Linked DNA regions of Lepisosteus oculatus. The protein of the gene in region 2 purifies or fractionates together with the protein of the main gene of each other region. This does not show direct contact. Links are inferred from orthologs where the notes say so. Each region holds a gene or a part of one and is shown on either strand. Other genes may lie near its edges.

Region 1 (10,369 bases), about 5.1 Mb from region 2:
CTTTATGTAGGTTTTCAGATTATTATTAATTTAAGATTGAATAAATTCGACTGTAAAACAAAACAATGTAAATGTTGATGATTTAGGTTTTTGTTATAAAGGATTAAAAGAATGTTCTATTTACAAATTATTCACACCGTCTTAGGATTTTTCCCCCACACTGTTTTACAGTATTATTTTCGATTTTCCACAATAGTAACATAAGGTACAGCCTAAGACAATAAAGACATTGTACAAACTGAGCTAGCGTGAGACAATGGGAGATGAATGGTGGCTGGAAGAGCACAGAGACAGATTACCCAGCCGTCTGTGCATCATGGATGCAATTCTCCTCATATCTCTACTCACAGCTGGTACGCACAGCCTGTACTGTCTCAAACACTGTCGGTGTGGCTGCTGCTGGCCGCACCAGCAATTGTTAAAATGTGAACTCAATCTAGTTTAAAAACCAGTATATTCTTGGAGGTGCCATAAAACACAAATGTGAAAATTATGAGCATGTAAATCAAGAGCTACTCATGCTGCTATATTGCATCTTATGCTTCCGATACTTTTTCTACTGCAGGGAAGCACTAAAAACATGCCCATGTATTTAACACAGAGGAGGCGGTACTATTGTACTGTGACATTGACAGAAATACATTTGGGCGATAAGCGTTTCCAAGTCCGGGAAATCAATGTCCTTGCACAGGAGCCAGGTATAATGTCATAGACCCGCTCGCGTTCGGAAACCTTGTCCTCATTAAAGATTCCTGTGGGGATGTCAGGCTGTTCCCAGGACACCCTTCACTGTGGTTTGCACTGCTGCACAGGCTGGCCGTCTTTGTTCTGTGCCATCTGCAGTGGCCTTCCAGTACCCTTGCTCAGTCAGGAATACACTTCAATCTCCTCCGCTGCGCCTCATGGAAAACATCCGCAGGGAGATTCATCAAGGTGCGACATTCTTCACCTCTTTTTGGTCGTGAACACAAACCTTTTATTTATACTTTCTTGTGGCTGTAGATCTCTATGCTGCCTTGTCATAAGGTGATGTAAAAACAACACTACATCCCTCTTCCTAAGCAAGGAGTGGTGGCACTGTGGCTAAGGATCTGCGCCTGTGGCTGGAGGGTTGCTGGTTCAAATCCTGCGTCCAGCAGAGGAATCCTACTTCGTTGGGCCCCTGAGCAAGGCCCTTAACCCCAGCTGCTCCAGGGGCACCGTATAAATGGCTGACCCTGCGCTCTGACCCCAGGCTTCTCTCTCCCTGTCTGTGTGTCTCATGAGAGCAAGCTGGCGTATGTGAAAAGACAAATTCCTAATGCAAGAAATTGTATATGGCCAATAAAGTGATCTTTGTGCTGGCCGTTATCAGCTGCAGCACTGCTTCAGCTCGATGCGTCTGCTTGCGTTCCAAGTTCTAATTCCAGTAGACACAGCCGATGTAGGAAGTGTCAGTTAAAGGTCAAGCAATTAAAGAAATACAAGAAGGATGAAGAGGATCAAAGTTTTGTTGCTATTTTTATTTTTGTTGCATAAGCGTTTGTCAGCAGTCTTATCAATGACTTTTCGTTCTGTAAGACAGAAGGGTCAGGACAACTTCATTGCATCATCCAGCATCCAATACGTTGAAAGTTGCAAGGCTCATTTGGTCTTATTTTCTTAAATTCTTTAATTAAAATCATAAAACAACGACTCCAAATCTTCACTGTTAAGTACCACAGCTCCTGCTAGATCTGCTGGGTCCACATCAGTACGAGATACAGAACCGTGCTGTCCGGGTCGGATCCGAGCAGCAGCAGTGGAAACGCCTTCCAGCTGCAGCTCAGTCAAACCAGCCCACTCATCTACAGCTGATAACTGCCAGTGAAAGTGGGGCAGATGGAATAGAAACACCTCTGTATCGATGCATTGTTAGGCTGCCAGCAGGGAATATTTGGTGATGCGCACGTTTGGGATTTCCAAAATCTGTCAGCAAATTTAAAAAACTTTTAAAAACTGATCACGTTTAAGATGCCCTTCTTTTTTCAAACTTATTACTCTATTTCAAATACATAGTTTGAAATTTTACAGCATCGTGCAAAAGTGGTCTAAATGACCTCTTTGTGCGTTTTTCTTAAGTCTTCCTATTTGTCTAGGATTTTTAAATTCTTTGACATACAGCTCTCTCCAGAAAGAGCCAGTGAATGGACTGGCACATGCATCTGTTAACAGGACAAGATTGTGTAGCCCTCTGTGCTTTCTGAATGAGCCCCCGCTCACACCTCTGCGTGCCCTGAATGAGCCCCCGCTCACACCTCTGCGTGCCCTGAATGAGCCCCCGCTCACACCTCTGCGTGCCCTGAATGAGCCGCGATATCTGGGGATACCTGCACAGATGGCAGCAATCAGCCCCTTCCTGCCTTCCTGGTCCTTCAGCACGTCTTTCACCACTGGAGACTGGAAGAAAAAACACAAGGAGTCTGGCCACACAATTCAACACTCGTATGCGCAGTAATGAAAAGTAGAGTTCTGCGCCTCTCATAGGATTCCCATGTTACATAAATACAATTACACCTTGATGCCATTAGGGGCAGCTGTTTAACTCCACACTATGTGACAGAATTAGGTTTTTGTTTCTATTAAGTAACTCTTTTCCGTTCCTATTCACCTGTCCCACTCCCCCACAGTTTTAGTGGAAACTAGGGCCCTGTGCTGCGGTCCTGCTCTTACCTCAGACAGATTCTGCGCCCCCAGGTTTCCTCCGGGTAAAACCACCACATCGTACGGGCCCTGGGGAGAAAAGGGCAGGCCACATCACTGCCGATACAGCCCTGCTTTTTCACACATCGCCACAGAACACCTCTCTACAAACGGACGGGCAGCCTTCGTTAATCCATCTGCTGTATGCAAAATAATTTGAAGCACAAAATGCCCAATGTGACCCACCGTGTGAGGAGAGCAGAGTTAATACTTCAGCCTTTACTCCTGAATCTTCCGCTAGGCTGACACAGGTGCCATTGTCAACAAGTGCGCAAGTTAACCTACAAAAAGTGCAAAGTAACCTACAAAAGCACCACTTAAAGAAAAAAAAATGGTACCACATAAATCTTAAATTAATCCTTGCCGAATCCATCAATAAATCCTAATAAAGCCCAGCCCTTGTATTCCTCAAGTCTGCAATAATATTGATGATTGTGGCCCACCAGTGTTGTTTCTTTTAACCGTTTGCCAGAAAGGAACACGCAGTGTTTTACTGTGGGTAAACTGGTGGTCAAATGCAGAGTTTAGCCTGGGTTCAGAACTACAAACTTGAATTTGACGGCATTTAAACACAAACTCCTTTCAACACATGGCGCGCACGCGTATGGGACACTGCTGCTCGGACCTGCGCGCGGGCTTCCTCCAGGCTGGCATCAGGGCAGATGAGCACGTCTCGGCTGCACTGCACGGGCTCCTTCCCCGACAGGCCGGCCAGCGTCACGCTCACCTGCGGAACAAGCGCCCTCCGTCAGGTCGATGGGTTTCTGGCCTCACACGGTGCCCAGAAATCCTTTACTGGCCTGATTCATTTCAACCCTCTTTGTATGCATATGCCGGTGATCAAAAGAATGGCATCACTAACAAACACATAAAATTACGTGCAAAGGTAAAGTCAGAGGCTAGCAATGCTTTCAAACACTGTTGGGCATGAGGCCAGCTTTACACACGCTTGCAGATGAGGCCTTGTGGGACGGCGTCCCATTCTGATCACTGAGCCTGGACTCAGGAGCTCCTTAAGGTCTCTGAGCCTTAGAGAACGCATCCCAGTGATGGACGGGGCTTGTTTCGCCTAACATTACAGTTCTGCCTCAATCAGGCAGCCTTCGCAATATTACAGAAGTCATTTTAATTAGAAATGAACTACCCAAGAACATCCCTGCAGCTAACTGACATTTACAGTAGACCCCAGATCTATCTTTATCACATTCCGCGTCACTGACCCCGCCTCTCTTCAGTTTATTGGATCACTTTCACGCCACTTTTGCACCGTGCCTGCAGACTGGTTAAGAGACATTGCTCTTTCCAGAACTATCCCATGAAGATGCACAGTGATATTCAAGTCACTGACAAGTAAATGAAAATTACAGTACCATTGTACTGTAGTCAACTGCAATGTGCAAATGCCGAGCTCTCGCATACATATTCATCTTTCAAAATCTAATCGTCCTAAGACTACGGCCTTTACTATTAACTCGGTGTCCTTGTTTTTGAGTGCTTTGTAGTATTAAACGTATTAATAATTCCAATCACTTGTTAAAAATGAAGACTTCATAGCAGCAGACAAAAATGCATCGCAGCCTTGTAGATAGCGTAACGCCGATTATTCGTCGTTATTACCGTGGATGACCGTTTCAAGGCACCGATTCATACTCAAACATCTGCTGCAACGCTGGCGGTTTATTTCGTAATTTCTTTCAGTACAAACACAGTTATGTCTTTTGTGGAAGCAAGAATATATCATATACAAGCAATAACTAAAAAATAGTTCTCTTATTCTGCAGAACAGAAGGAATGCGCATCATTAGGCCTGAGGATAGCACGTTGTTTTCATGCACCACCTATGCTGAGGTAAAGTTTAAGCGTGTCAAACTGCCGCATACAGTACAGACCCCGGCTCTGCGCATGATGTCCACCGGGATAACCGTCTCCATCTCCTCAGCACCCTTCGACAGGATAACCAGAGCCCGCTTGGCTGCCATTTGTGTGAACTCTGAAGAGCCAAAGCAAACTTCTTAGATTGAGGTTGTGAACAAAAGGCACTTGCAGACGACCTGAAACTCAACAGTGTCCACACACACACACTTCCCTAGCTACGGCAAAGGCTCGGGGACAAACAGCGCGACCGAAATGCCACGGGGGCTCAATTTTATGAGGCGCGTTCTTGATCCTAATCCACAAGGCGTGTACTTAAAGCTTTATTACCATCATTATTTCGTGTCCATACTTAACTATAAATGAAAACAACACTTGCATAACGAAATGAAGAAATGGGAAGCTTCTCAGTATGAGCTGCTGTTGGCAGGTGTGACACTTCTTCAGCCACTAGAGGGCGGTGTCACCTTAGTGATGAAGAAGCATCCTATGTGGTCCATGACATTAACACATTTTCTTTATATGTACTGTATATAGATGCTAAATATAGATATTTGCTATTCTTCTTCAGAGGTGTTAAGGGCACATGTCCACATGGTTTAATACCAGAAACAATATATATCCATTAAATTCTGCGATGTGAACACTTTTTCTAAATGCTGATGTAGAATCTCTGAAGGATGTGACATATTCCAAAAAAGCTAAAAGTGCAGGACGTCTGTGCCTATACAGATTCACCCAGTACTGCGCTGTACCGTTTTCCCTCAGACATCTCCAGCCTCTTGTGTAAAAGACGCTTCTGCACGGGCGCCTTTGTGAGAGCCCGCAAAAAGTTCAGTTTTGTGTGGGGTGTGTCACACTTATTATCACTTTTGCGCCTTTTAAAATGTTGCGATCAGCACCTTGTCAGAAATGTTCAATGTAGTCAACTATATTCAAATACAGGTTGCTTAAACTGTAATTAGTTTAGTTATAGATTACGTTTTCTCCACGTTCCTTGTGCTGTACTTTATACTTAAAAAGAAGATTTGGGATATTTTGTCATTATTTACCATTCCTAGGTTAGTAGTAGACGTGGTGGCAGCTGTATTGGTGTGTATTTAATGTTAAATTACAGTAGACCTACAAGCATAGATATTTTCTTAGGATATTTCCAGCAAATATATTAAAAGTCCCTATAGAGTGCATTAAACTGTTTGCACTTTGTTTTGTTTTTTTACACTTGTTTTATGATCGAGAGACTTTCTGTTAGTAAGAATTCCATTGTACCAGTACCGGTTACATATGGCAATAAAGTTCATGTTCAAGTTCAAAATATAATTGAAGTACTATACTTAAAATAAAGTACCCTCAGAATCTTTTACTTGATTTAAGTCCAATTGATTTAGTACTTCCATTGGTCTTAGTTTGTCAATATTTGAAATATATTAATATTATTCAAAATATATTTTGAAATGCACTGTTTTTTTATTCTTCAAGATGTGAGCGATGTGAACGCGCTCTCAATAACTTTCAGATGGCACAACCCATGAACAACAAATGAACGCACCAAAAAGCGCTAACATCACCAGTGTCCACAGGGGGGCGCATAGTGCACAATGTGGATCCCTGTAGATAGGTAACCGCACTCTCAGTGTGCACCGTGATTTTCAATAGGAAATTGTTCTCCGTGGATTCTTGTCCATTGATCACGTCCACGTTCAGAACGTCTCGTAAGGGTCAGGATAGATCCTATTTGTGTAAGTGCTAGATTTCAATGCTCTGTAGTAATCTGTTCTGACCACAGTTCAGGTGGATAGCTGCGTCAGCATGCGGAGTCGGCAAAGGAACAAGAAAATAGATTTATTCCATGCTGAGAAGAGAAGATGTGAAGCCTTGTACAGCTGTGATCCCGACACTTGTTCTGACAATATGGTTGTTCCAATAGGACCGAAAACTTTACGCGAACCCTGTATGTCGCAGACAATATTTTTTATACTCACAATTCAATGAGTCAATTACAATATACTGGTGGGAATTTGAATCCCTGTCTGAATTATTGGGGTAAGTGCACCGACTGGGCCCAGGAAGTCTGCTTCCTTACAAGCTACGCCGTGCAAATAGCTCAGCTGCATAAGCGAGTCATAAACGGACACCAGGGAATTATATTTTCATGTAAATCAGAACGTGAATGGTTTGGAGATTTAATATGCAGGCACTTGTCCCAATTTAATGCACCAGTGTGCATTCTGCAGTTGCATTTTCATATTTGTGCAACTTAAAAGAGCCCAATGAAACAACGGATTAAATAAAGATTTGGGGTGCTGTAGCCGGCCTATTTTCTACGTGCCTGTTTGCAAATCCAGAAGGCAGTAACGATTACCAAAATATGTAACCGGGATCACTGAGCCTGCCGCAGTCGTACACTAGCTATTTTCCCTAAACAGGCATTTATTTATTTTTTATTCTTTACATAAGAAGCTTATAGTGAGCATATGATCATACTGAGGGAATGCTTATTAAACTCGCTTGTAAACCAGGTAACCTCGTAAGAATAGGGATTAAAGTCTGAAACACTGACGATGCAAATTTGCCCGCTGAGCCATCTGTGCGATTCTGCAAACTTAAATGAGGCGTAGCGGGCGCTTCTTCCTAAATATCCAACTTTCTTCCCCGACGCTCTTTGTTGTTGTCATGCAGGAAAACCTCTTCCAAAGGCAGGCGGAGAATAAACAAAGACCTCTTAAAGAGTAATTGCTTTCAAAAGGCTTTTCTTCTTCTTAGCCCTGTACCGTTTTCACGATTAATGTTGCTGTTTCAACAAAGCAGCTCACCGACTTATTGTACCAATACTGGTTACAGCTAATCTGCTCTGCTGACTAGGTAGAAGGCCTTTAGCTAAGGGCACCTGTAGTGTGCAAACAAACATAGCCACAGTATAATTTAATTTAATTTTACAGCCTGTAGCTACTGCTAAGACCCAAAAGAAAATATCCTCCACGTCCTATTTTTAACCACAAGGCTGCCATTTTTTCCTTCCTCCCTCAACCTCCCTGAGGAGACAGAGGAGGCTACCTCGACCCCTCCCTGTAGATCACGTCAGGGGCGTAGCGGTGGAGGAGAGGTGGCCATCCCAGCCACCCTGGACATAAACACCATGCTTCCTTGCATGTACACCTCCCCATAACCCCATATACTCAGATCCCGGATGTGTGCGTTTCTTTACAGTTCCCAGATTGAAATTTAAAGCCCCAAACAGGGTCAGAGATAAATTCCCTCCCCTCTCCGATTCGGCTGTCTCAGATCAGCGCGTGCTGAAGTTATGACTTTACCATTCAAATCTGGAATGTTGGATATCAAGGCTATCAAGAAGAGATCCATGGCCCAGTATGCTACAGTCCACTAAGAGAGAAGTAGGGGTTAAATGCCTTCCTCTCGGTCACTAAGCTAGCGTACTCTAATGGGCACGCCTCCTGAAGTGGCACATGGTAAAGGGAGTACTTCCTTGTTGGCAGTTGGCGATGAGGTCTTCCAGGTGCTTTAAGAGCCAGCAGCCAGGGGTCAAACAGCCGGGCAGGGCTGGTTCACACAACATGCTTCTGCGGCCAGGTGCAACCCCCTCAGAGCATGTCACACAGTCTGGCCAGCCCACCCTGCCTCAGAGTCTCAAACACAGGCGATGGGGACGGAGGAGAGGGAATGGGGCAGGCGTGCTCCGTCTGTCTGCTGGGGAGACCTGGAGTAAACGCATCGCAGCGGCCATCAGGTCAGGCCGATCGTCAGTCGGCACACCGCAGGGACAGGCGAGGCCGGCTGGCAGGGATCACACCTGTGGAAGCTCACAGAGGGGAGGCTGACAGGTGGATACCGCTGCTTCAACAGCTTAAACAGCTCCGAATATTCATTCACGAGCGCATTAGAATTGAATTTAATTGGGTATTAACATTATTACATTACAGAATGAAATATGGCTAGGAATTGCTAAATTCCGGGAAAAGGAAAATGATATTCGAATGAACAGGTGAGATTATAATTGAATGCAGATGAGGAAAATGATTATTAGACTGAACAGGAGAGCCACTATGTGTCCGTACCAACAGAGCACCGATTCATTAAATAGCCATTAATACTGGCTGTCTGCTTTCGGCTGGCTCACTCACCTCCACAAGTGACAGCAGACTGGGAGAGCTGTTTTTACGTGCCACACTGGCTGTTTAAAATGTGAGCGCAAATCGCCACTGACACTCTTGGATCCTTCCCAAATTCATGTCCCACCAACCACAGTGCTTAAGGGTGCTAATTTAAACCAGATTTAACGCTTACAAGTAAAAAAAAAACAAACGGATATTAACAAGTGTCAGCCTCTTTGATCTACTGCTGGCAGAACTACAAAACATGTTTTCTGATTTAATTTTTTTCAGTGTGGGTATGTATTTGTGCGAGAGCGTGTGTGTTCACTATGGTATCGGGTGTCTTGTTCCCTGGATTTGCAATGGGTACTTCCCCGCAGATGGGATCTTCTTTCATTTAAGAAGAGAAAGACCCTGGGCGATCTCTACACTGCTACATGGCTCATTAGCGCTTTCTCTCACACCCCTCCAGACTTTAGGTTCTGTTTTGACACAGTTTTATCTAGCGAGCAACAGAGGTTTCTTGAGAAGGCTGAAGGGGTTGTAAAATGCATCCACTGGGTGTTCCATAATGCAATGCTTTAAATGAAAGCAAAGAATTCCAGAAACCGCTGTCTGCTAAATCAACAACCATCAGAAAGGAAGAAAGCATAGCAGTGTAGGGCAGATATCATAGTCTCCGAAAAAGTTATCGCCAAACAAAATTCAAAACCGAGATTTCTTTTTATATATCTAGACTTTGACATCATTCTTGTTTTATTATTTCAACCAGTTTGGAACCAGCAGTTGGTTTGGGGTAGTCCTACCAGGCTACATGTTCTGTACCCACACGGGGAGAAAGAGGACCCATGCTAGACTCATTCACTCTTTTGGCACTTAAAGTTCCACAAGGCCTAATCAGAGACTCAACAGCAATCAGAGCAGAGGTTCTCCGTGACAGCACTGCAAGCCTGCAAGCACCCAGGAAGTAATAAGGAGTCCCTGCTGCACCAGGAGCTGAGAGACGACTGGCCTGCTACTGCTCATCCCGTTCTGGTGGCATACAGACAGTTGTGTCCTGCTCTTGGGACAGTCACTGTCTGCCACTGCTCGAACCAGTGACTCCTGAGTCACCAAGATCAACCTGCACTCTGAGAGAACAACTTTTCTGATGGAGCTGCTGAGAAGCTCCCCAGTATGGGTGATTTTTGAACCACAAAATGAGTTCTTGGATTCACCTTGTTGGTTCATAATAAGGTCAGGAGGGGATTGGGATGTTTATTTTCTCAGTTGAAAGGGTTTCTCCTGTTCCCTGAGGTTGTGAGCTCTGTCATACTGCCTGGTGACAGTTAAGAGTACGAGTTTAGTTGGAGAAAGGTTTCCAACAACAACAATCCATTAAACTCTTCAAATAGTGGCCAAGGACTTCATATTCCCTTCATTATATCCTTTTAAAATATTGCAGTCCCCAAACACTCCCCTAAACTAGAGTCTACATTTTTTACAAACACCTTTCTGGTCTCTGTTGACCACTACAGCCCCACCTCCCTCATCTACCCCTGGTGTTTTTGAACACAGAATTGCAAGCGCAGTCAGCTACAGTACAGTCAGAATCAGTGTGTGACAGTAACAAAAGACACCTTTTGCAGGGGTTGATGGACACAGGGCATCTCAGACTGGACATATTT
Region 2 (10,281 bases):
CGTGGAACCGATCCCTCATGACGCTGATAAGGGCTCAGGGTTAAGCCAAGCAGGACCTGACCTGCGGCTCTTCCACACAAACTCACGAAACATGCCTCCTTATCTCTCTCTCTCATGATAATTATGTCAACTCCTGCCCCCTCCCCACTCATTTTACCTTTCTTAGTGTAGAGGTCCACTTCCACAGTGGGGTTTCCACGGGAGTCAAAAATCTCACGGGCGTGGATCTTCAGGATGGACATGATGGCGGCTCTGGAACGAAAGGGGGGGGGGGGGGGACAAACGCCGGTGACCAAACCGATCTGCCTGGTGGGGCGCCCCCTGACCACGCTGCTGCCCCCGGTTTAAAACAAGCTCATGCAACAAGACCAGGGGGCAGCGAAACCTCCGAGCGAGTTTCCCCACGGCCCCCTCCTGGGGGAAAGGGGCATCGCATAAGGGCTACCTGCCTTCGGAAGAACAACCGAACGAGCCACGAGACAACTTAAAAAAAAAACCTTTGTGCTCCGAGAAGGAGCACAGATCCACCTGGAGCCAGAGGGGGGGTCTGCCCCCAGTTCTCCCCATGGCTGTGCAGGTCTTCCTCTCCTCGGCGGGCAGCTGGGTCTCCACCGGTCCTGTATTCCTACAGAAGCTCTGGCAGCAGCCTTGCTCTGGAAAGAGCAGCCCTGCCTTGGGCCCTCGCTCAGCAGGTTCTCCCCAGTCCGCGCTGGGGAGACCGCAGAGACACCCCCTCCCCCAGCACACCAGCGCGTTCCCTCCCAGCGCTCCACGGCACGACCCGACCAGCACCAGCACCCGGACAGACGTCTCTTCTGCCCCAACGGGCCGAGCGGTGGAACGCGGTGGAGACGACGCTCTTAAGCGCTCATGCAAACTCATTGTGAATAAAACAAAAACTGTTGCAATTCGTTTACAATCAAAAACTACACTGCTACATCCCAACTTTCAAGGATTATCGTCTATAGAGAGCCTCAAAGACACAGCCTCAGCTCAACAATTGATCCCGATTTGCGTTTTTCAAGAACTGGGTTCAGCGTCCAGTTTTAGATGTCTTCAGACGGACCTTCTCCACGTCAGCCGTCTGTCAGTGTACAACCTGGTAACAGGTGGCCAGCAGCCTATTTCCAGAACAGCGGTAAAGCCTAGATCAGATCGCCAATGTGCTATAAATCATCTTATCGATGCACTAATCAATCATCCTTTTCATTCTGACATGCTTCTATTGTTGTTTAAAACTAAACTGTCCTGATCCAAGGGCAACAGGACACCCTCAACACTGCATCTGAAAATGAGTCTAACTTTGCCAAATGAGACACCTCAGCTTAGTCCCTACAGCAACACATCAGGCATCAAAACTGGGGCCCTTTAACCTTAAGGCACTAGGGGCCAGGGAGACTAAAGTGCTTATTGGTAAGGATACCGATTTAGTTTAGGCTTCGTGGGCTAATACCTTTCAAGCTCACAAAATGAGTCAGTGCTCAGATGTCAAGTGAGGCGCACCCAACCAATAAAAGCCTATTTAGACTTTTAGCGAGATGCCCTGCGCAGCACTCCCTCTCGATCCATTAATGTCTGCGCGATGGAGATGGACCACTGGAAAACTGCCCCCGGCTGTCCCTAGGAGCTAGCAGACCCGTGCTGTCCTTCCCTCGTCCACACGATCGAGTGGGACGGCTGTTTGAATGGAGCCACAGGCTTTTAGTCGAGTTCAGCTTTTGGCCAGCCGGGGTTAAAAACAAACAAACTTGCTATTCACAGCGAGTCTATTCTAGCCAAGGTGCTCTTGGTTACAAAGCTGTAGGACAGGGGTCTCTGCTCTCGGAGGAAACAGCCAGGAAGAGAGACTGTTAAACTGATCAAACTGCATCAGGATGGCTAAGAAATGCACTTCCGAGTAAAGAACAAAAAAATAAGCTGTTGCATAGTAAATCTAGTTTTTGAGTTAGAAGCCTACAAGAAGCTTATCTTTTGTACCCTGATCTGTACCCACGGCCAGTGCAGGTCTCCGTGTCAACATTACGGTGTCTGCAATGGGCTTTCCTTCACAGCCAAGACTTCAATATTCCTCACCAACGCGGACAGCCTGAGAGGCCTGTATATAACGACTCGCAGCCTCGGCAACAGGCCGCCCGTGCTATCGAAAAACTTATTTCCAGGACCAAGTGACTTATTTCCTTAAACGCCAATTGCGCTGCATGAATCAGACATCTGCAATTTCACAGGAAAGAGCATTAATCATGGCCAGTACTAACAGAGTCATAACCCCCAAAGCACATTTTCAGGTGCACCCTCTGTCCTTTGGGTTTTATAGGCATTTATAACTAGTGGTTAGGGTTGAAGCTTGTTATATCAACACTTAGCTTCACTTCAACTTAGCCAATTACCAGAAGGTCCTACAGCTTTCCTGGACCAGGATGGGAGATCCCCCCTACTCAATATGCAGCCATTCCAGTGCTCTCCAGTAGTGAGCAGTCCTGCTCATAGATAAGATAAGATCACTTTATGAGCCCATTTCTTGCACTGTCTTTTCACATACCCCAATTCGCAAACAACCGGGGGGTCGCAAGAACTGAGGGACACAGACTGGGGTCCCGTGATGTTAATGAAAATAAAACTACTGGGGTCTCCCAAACGGTGCTGGTGGAAAGCAGTCTGAGTGGCTGAGAGGACAGCCCTTTCACCGCAAGAAACGTGGTTTCTGCTTCACATTGAGGAATCAGACCGCTAGAGACCTGAGTGGGCGGGAGGGACGTGTCCCCATTTACTGAACGCGCCGAGCATTTCCAGTTCCTGGCACACTGCCTCTGGAGGCAACGTGGTTTTCAATGTCGATCTGGGTTTCGGGGTCACCCCCGAAAAGTCCACTCGACACCCCTTTTTTTCCTCTCAGACACGCACGATGTCGTGTTTTTTCCACCCCCACCCTCCCGGGTGGTGCCGGGGACTCCGCACAGGTGCGGCGCTCGCAGCGCCTCGGGGAGGACGTGGGTGTTGAGGGTGACCCCAAAACCCCGAAAACACGATTGACATTGGAACCGCTACCTCCGAAAGCGGCGTTGCCTCCAAAGGTCGTGTCCTGGGAGCTGGAAATACTCGGCTTGTTCAGTAAATCAGAAAGCGTCGCCCGTCCCCTCCAGCCGGGTGTGTTAAGCGAGGCAGCCCGGAAGGCCTCGAGTCTTATATTCGCTCCAATTATAGTGTTTCTGCGTCTCTAAACCGGGATCTCGTCTCTTTCCCTCCCCACCTCCAGAAGTGGTCTTTTTTTTAGGAAAAAAACCCCCAACAACAATTAAAAAAAATTAACAGGAGGAGGAGATGAAAGTTACGTTTTAAACGCATTAAAAAAACTCACGTAAAAAAAACGCTACAGACAGACTGGCGTTTCCCAGGAAGCAGAAAAAAAGCCAGTCTATTTAAAGTTCCGACACGGACAACATGGATGTCCCTGGGATTAAAGACCCGCTTGAGAAGCGTTTTACTCCCGAGATACAGTTAACCAGGAACTACGAGCTACAGAGCAGAGTTCAGAACGACAGGAAAATTGCACAATGATATCAAACGTTGGTCTTGTAACAGAATGATCTCAGCATTTCTATACGGCTTTGTCAAGAGAGGAAACGGCGACCGCTTAGCGACAGACCCGTTTCAAACCGCCGGCAGCCCCGATATGACGCTCTCCGCTGGGGCTGAACTTGAACCCGATACCCCTAATTGAATTACACCCCCGGCGGTGCACCGAGCGAACCCTTCACGCTCCGCCCCCCAGACGGGCAAAACCTTTAAGATAATTAACAGGTTTAAAGAGAAATCGCCTAAAATGGGCGATTAAAACCTTCCAACTAAAATGACAAAACTTCCTCTCTGACACAATGTACTGCCGGGCCCCCTATTAATTAGCTGCAGCCCCATAGCGTCTCGACACCCGCTTACCTCCCGGAGCTTTCCAGGGGAAAGCAGGGTATAGAGAGAGACACTGATTCAGGTCACAGCATGTGAATTAATTCGGAACTTTCGGGAAATCAAAAATATTAAAGACGACGCGTGCATAGAAAGCGCACGAGATGGGGAACCCCCCCCCCCACACACACACACACCCCAGAAACGAATAAAACAGAGCTTACAAAACGGGGCCCGCTCATGATTAAACTGGGCTAAAGGCTTTATACGTGGTGCTGAGCCGCTCTTACCTGACTGTGCGGCGGTGAAGGAGAAGGAGAAGGACAGGGGCTCGCGCTGGCTGGCAGACGGAGAGAAGCAGGGCTCGCGCAGGGCAGCGCTATCAGGAAGAGGGCTCGCGCCTGATTGGCTCCTGCGGGGCTCACGCGACACGCCCGCAACTCGGGGTGGGGGGGGGAGAGGAGGAGGAGGAGGAGGAGGAGGCCGGTGCACGCGAGGCTGGAAGTTTCCACCGAGCGCAGCGGCGCCCGCCGGGCGGATGCGGAACACGTTACTGTTACCGTCTGCGTCAGATTTCTTTTTAAAAAGTCGCGTTTTCTTTCCAAACGAAACGAACGAAGCCCCCACTTTAGCGTCCCCTCGTTTCGCAGCATCTCCACAGGCCGAGGTGAAACCCGTTATCGGAAGCAATGCACGTATTTGTAACATTAAAAAAACCGCAGATAACGCCTGGAGCCGAACTGGGGCCGCCGTCGTGAGCTTTGTCGGGGCTCACCGCCTGTTGCGCACGTGGGTAGGGGATGGGTCCTTTATTTCGGGGTGCTGCACGGGTTTCAAGGATGTAACCAGATCCCAGGATGAAAGGTGCTTCTCCAGGGACAGTCCCGACCCAGCCCCCCCCCCGCTCGGGATGCGGTGGCGCAGTGAGGACTACGTGCCGGGAATCAGCAACGCTTTCCGCGCGACGGCGCTGCGTCACTGCACAGGGAGCAGACCGCCGCCCGAGCCAGGCTTTCCACGGCCGATTCACGATTCAGTCATCCCCAAACCACTCAGGGTGACCCGCAGATTGATACAGAACAGTCATTCTCCTTCGCCAGACACCCGCCGCAGCCCCGAGTGCGAGCTGACATTTTCCTCATCTTTATTTTCTCTTTACGTAGCCGAACACATAACATAGGTGCACATACACATGCTATAATACACACGGGAGATAGGCTGAGTGCCCCCATTATTCTTACACCCGAAGAAGGGTCCACAGCCGAAACGTTGTGTTTTCTTTCTTCTCCTTTCGGCAGGGAATAAACCCATGACCTGTTCCATGATGCATATCACTCGCGCATTTTCTCTGTCACGATCATTAGAAAAACGGTTCAAGAATAAGAAGGCGAGGGGAGATTCTCAAGCCCTGTAAAACTAATGCTATAATAAAGAGATACGTCAGTGATGAAATATTCTTCTTGTTCCTTTTTTTTAAAATAAATGAATACGTCCCAAGTCTAGGGGCGTGGGTGTCAGCCTTGGAGCTGTTGCGGTCTGGGCTCGACTGTGGGGTCGGGGCTCCTTCTGCGTGGAGTCCGCGTGGTCCTCCGGCATTCACGTGGGGTTTCCAGCGAGAGGCGGGCGGCCACGAACGAGGCGCCGTCTCCTCCCTTTCCCTGTCCCAGCCGGTAATAAACCCTCACCTGGTCCCCTCCAACAAGCCTGACGCAGCTCCCTGCCCCGACCTCTCTCACCCGGGGGGTCTGCGGCTTTCTGGTGGCGGGTGGGCGCCGGTTCAGCGCTTTCGGGGTGAACCCACGCTGCCGTGAACTGAGGGACAGACAGCTCCCGGGCCCCGTGTGTGGAGACGCCGAGGGGCTGCCTGGTGTGCTAGCGAGCAATGCGGAGGGATGGCGCTTCTGCAAACAGGGAACTGGAATCAGAAAACGCGCAAACCTTGTCTTTCCTAACGAGCTCGGCTCCGGGCGGAGAGACCTGTTACCCAATACCTGCAGCTTGCATAATTTATAACCGTGTTCGCCTCGGCGGCGTGTCTCGCTCACAGGCGCCCTTCATCAGAGCGATTGGAAGACAAAATGTCACTTTTTTTAGGTTTTTTTTCCGTCTCGGCAGGCAGGCGATGATGAGCAGATCTGCGCAAACAGCAGCACGGAATGGAGGACAGGGGTGTCCGGTCCTGATCCCGGCAGGCCCGTGTGTCTGGGTTTCGGTCCAGCTCGGCTAAACCGGCTGGTCCCTGGCTTAACCGGGCCGACCCACACCAGGGCCAGTCTTCCCAGAAGCCAATTAAGCTACCAGCATGTCTTTGGACGGACTGTGGGAGGAAACCGGAGCGCCTACAGGAAAACCACACGAACCCGGGGAGAACATGCAGACTCCACACAGACAGCACCCCAGGGCTGGAATTCAACCCTGGGGCCCAGCACTGCGGGGCAGCAATGCTATCCTCAATGTCCCTTCGGGATCAATAAAGTCTTGTCTATCTAACAACTGCACCACCCTGCTGCCCTTTTCGGTACCGACCTGTAGACATATATAAACACATTTGTAACGCACAAAATCTGAACAGAAATTGTAACCGTGCACAAGCATTCCTGAACACGGGGCTGATTCATTCTCAAAACGTCCTTTTTTTCCGCCATTGAATGATCAGCGGCAGTCATCCACCCCCCCACCCCCCCTCGAGGCCCTGTTGCCATGGCGAGGGCCCGTCCCCCGTCACCATGGCAGCCGGAGGAGTGCAGAACGGAGCATCAGCAATGGCGGACGCGCGCGGTGACCTTGAGGACGGCGGGACGCGGGAGCGCGCCGCCTGGTGGTTCGCCTGCGCCACGTCACGGACAGAGGCGGAAGAAAATGCGTTTCCAGGCAGGAACCCACATCATGACGTCCCAGGGCTTTCTGAGGGTAGAACAGTAGTCAGAAAATGATTCACTGAGATATTAGGAAGCAGTCGTGTTTTATTGAGACAGTTGTTCCATTCATTCTAACTTAACTTTGAATGAAACTCGTTTTGAGGCTTCAGAAGTAAGAACAACTACTGCCTGAATAAAAGAGCCCTTGTTTACTCTGGAGTCATTCCCAGCGTGTGTTCTAATATTAATGCACTCAATTAAAAAAACGCACACACACAATTGCAGCGGCACCCAATCTTTGCTCTCTTTGCCAGCTGTAGAAGACTCTTCCAGAGAAGTGGGGCACTGTTTGTATTAGTGTACCAGCATCCTGGTCTGGTCAGCCTGGACTGCATCAGCCCCACCACAGCACTGACACAAGCTTTCTGAGTCACTGCCATGTGATGGCTTCATTGTTCCAGCACGCCTACTCTGTAATCCGTTAAAAAGAAAAAAACAGTTTGAAGTTTTGTTTGCCTTGGAAGTTTAATGAAAGATGCCCATGGCTGTCTTGTGAGGGCAGGGGAGCTGACCCCAGTGCCTGAACTCTGAAGTCTGTCTGGGCTCTGGCCAATCAGACCAGGCTCTGCTGGGTACTGGGACCGCTGGTAGATAGCGGCTGCTGTGTGTCACCCAGCTGGGTCTCCTCCCAGGTGCAGAACACTTTGGGCTGCCAGGCGCAATCAGTCGTAAAGCTACTATTCATTTTTATTTATTCTCTACAAGGCTGGAAGCAAAATATTAGTTTTTTCCTCTCACCCAGTTCCAACCAGGCCAGCCCACTATTTCTTTCTCAAAGGTTTCAGTGAGGGTCTACACTGCCTCCTACTGGTCAGACGAAGAAGTGCAGCATCAGGGTCTCACTGTTCTGCCAGTGCCAACACCGCACAGCCCGGAGTTTCAGTGTACTTCTACGTCAGGGGGAAGCTCTTTTTTTTTTTTGAATGGAGTGTTCCATTAATTTAGTTCCCGAGGCAATATTTGCAAATAAGTTATGCCTCAGTGGTGCGTTTCTCACATTTGCCACCTCGTTTGAAAAAAGAAATAGTCATGTTCAATTCAGGCGTGGGGCTGGAAGACAAATACACGGCGAGAGGTGATCTATAAATCTATACCCGAGCCAGCCATGCCTGCGGCCCGACTCAAGTTTGTAAATAATTAATTTTATTGACTCCGGAAAACCCACACATTGCATAAAGGTTGATCCTTCAACCGATCAATACCCCCCTCCCCTTCCCAAATCAATTTCCATTCTAGACCAAATGAAAGCAGTGACCTTTGTCACCAGATGCAGGCTGAACATGGGTGGATATGACAAGATCACTCTATTGGCCACATACAATGTCTTGCAATAGGAGTTTGTCTTTTCGCAGACCCCAGCATGCTCTCCATGAGACACACAGATGGGAAGAGAAGCTGGGGGTCAGAGCACAGGGTCAGCCATTGTACAGCACCCCTGGAGCAGTTGGGGGTAAGGGCCTTGCTCTGGGGCCCTCCTCTACTGGCCGCGGGATTTGAACCAGCAACGTTCCAGCCACAGGCACAGATCCTGAGCCACAGAGCCACCACTCCGCCGCGGGGTGTCTGGGACCGTGAACAGTCGTGCATGCGACAGTACCGCATCTAGATGCTAGGAGGCATCCGAAAAGGCTCTCTGCGGTTAGAAGCAGAAGGGAACCCCGATACCCTGATTTGCTCACACAGGCCATTTCAGCCTCATGGTATTCATTTGCGAGGGGGAAGCCAAGACTACCTATAACCCATACAGGCCACATCCAGAGCTCGACTGAGAAAGCTTACAGCAGCAGTATAACCCAGCGGCATCTCTCGGAGAGAGCTTTCAAGATCTGGGTCCCAACTCAGCCAATTAACTAATTAAGCTAGTTAGGGGCAAAGAGGAGAGAATGGCGAGCTGCGCTGGTTTGCTGGCGAGAAGCACAAAACGTCAGCGATACATCTACGCTTCCATCCATAGGGTTGCGGAGCAGGCAGAGTGCAAGGCTGGATACACCCTGGATGGGATGCCAGTCCATCGCAGGGCAGGATACACCCTGGACGGGACACCAATCCATCGCAGTGATCTAAGCCTATAGGCCTTTAATAACTGACAGCCATGAGCCTAAGATCCAGGACAACATACAGTACTGCACTCATTTCTCCATTCTTACCCAGAACGCACCAGCTGCAAAAACTACACTCCGTGGTGCCAACGCTTGCAGTAATTCTTTCAGTGGGAACTGTTTCAGAACCATCAGTCGCTTGCCTGCTGCCTGCACAGTTCTCATACCTGGGGCGGGAGGAGGGATTGAGACAGGAGGTCTGGGGTCCGTGCATGCCTTTCTCTCAATCATTCTTCAGGACTTTCCCTTTCTGTCTCTGTGTGGGAGCATGTGACTCCCCGCTCCTGACCAGATGCCAGTCTGGTCAGGGGCTCCTGGCCGATGCCCATTCATGCAGCTGTGTGGATTGGGGGTGGGGCGGGTTCAAGTCACAGATGTCGGGTCACGAGTTCCTGCAAATAAACAATTAAAAATTAACATCATGTGTTGCCTAACGATGAACACAAAGGCTCATCCTACTCCACCGCGTATAGTATTCGTACACTGAAGGACATGAAAAACACCACACACGCATCGAAGCCACTGACCTTTCTTGTGTTTTTAATGTCTCTCAGTATATACTCATGTAGAGAGAAATAGGTTCATGCACATATTAAACCACTTTAATTTTAAACAACCAGTCTAAAAAAAAGAAACAGTTAAAATCATTTAAAATGAACTTTTGCAACAGCAGCAGGAATAGTCTCTTGCTGGAATTATTCCGGGTTTAAGGACGCCTAGAGAAAACAGAATGGCCCTGTCATGGTTGGGGCTCACAGATCACTAGCAATTTAAAAAAAAAGCCTGTAAAGTCAAATGCCTTTGGACCAACACGGCCTATAAAAAAGCTTCATTTTGTACTTATTCGTACCCTGGGAGGCTTGTGTCACGTGGCAAACCTAAAAACATGGAAAAATGTATGTTGTTTTGTAAAATGGACTTACAGGATCTCTGCAACATGTGCATAGACAAACAGCTATTGCCCTCAGTTCCTGTTTACTTTCCATAAACTCATAAAAGAGCATGCCTTCAGCATGCTGTGTGTAAACTATTAGCTAACCAGCCAGAGGGGGAATCAATATCCGATTCCCGGTCTTCACAAACTTATCCACAAGGCCAAAGGCTATCTCATCTGAGCATGCAGAGCGATTTCCCCCTAAACGCTCTCTCACACACTCAAAGCACAAGGCTGGATGTACAGGCTGTTGTTGTTTCGAAGCTCAGCCATGACATGGGAATTCTGTCTCTGCTTCTGTTTTCTGCTGGCGCGAGTCAGCTGTGACAAAATTCAAGGAATACACTGGTCCTACAAAGGTAAAAAAATATTTCCTTCAGTTTTTTTACTAGTGTTTAAAACAATGTAAAGGATGGATAACTTTCAGACT

The links. Proteins that work in one complex are often made in the same cells at the same time.
Region 1: the proteins of eno1a (region 2) and park7 fractionate together in Homo sapiens (co-fractionation; 3 studies listed by BioGRID). This does not show direct contact. The link is inferred for Lepisosteus oculatus from reciprocal best matches to the Homo sapiens genes ENO1 and PARK7.

The regions. Positions count from the first base shown.
Region 1 is NC_090720.1:6,609,455-6,619,823, reverse strand, and holds the start of park7 (Parkinson disease protein 7 homolog), read right to left. Parts: upstream 4,844-10,369; 5' UTR 4,701-4,843; coding exon 4,611-4,700; intron 3,449-4,610; coding exon 3,347-3,448; intron 2,752-3,346; coding exon 2,692-2,751; intron 2,419-2,691; coding exon 2,349-2,418; intron 1-2,348. UniProt on the Homo sapiens protein: Multifunctional protein with controversial molecular function which plays an important role in cell protection against oxidative stress and cell death acting as oxidative stress sensor and redox-sensitive chaperone and protease.
Region 2 is NC_090720.1:1,526,799-1,537,079, forward strand, and holds the start of eno1a (enolase 1a, (alpha)), read right to left. Parts: upstream 4,302-10,281; 5' UTR 4,191-4,301; intron 253-4,190; 5' UTR 243-252; coding exon 158-242; intron 1-157. Other genes in the region: ca6 (carbonic anhydrase 6), read left to right, coding at 10,090-10,210. UniProt on the Homo sapiens protein: Glycolytic enzyme the catalyzes the conversion of 2-phosphoglycerate to phosphoenolpyruvate. In addition to glycolysis, involved in various processes such as growth control, hypoxia tolerance and allergic responses.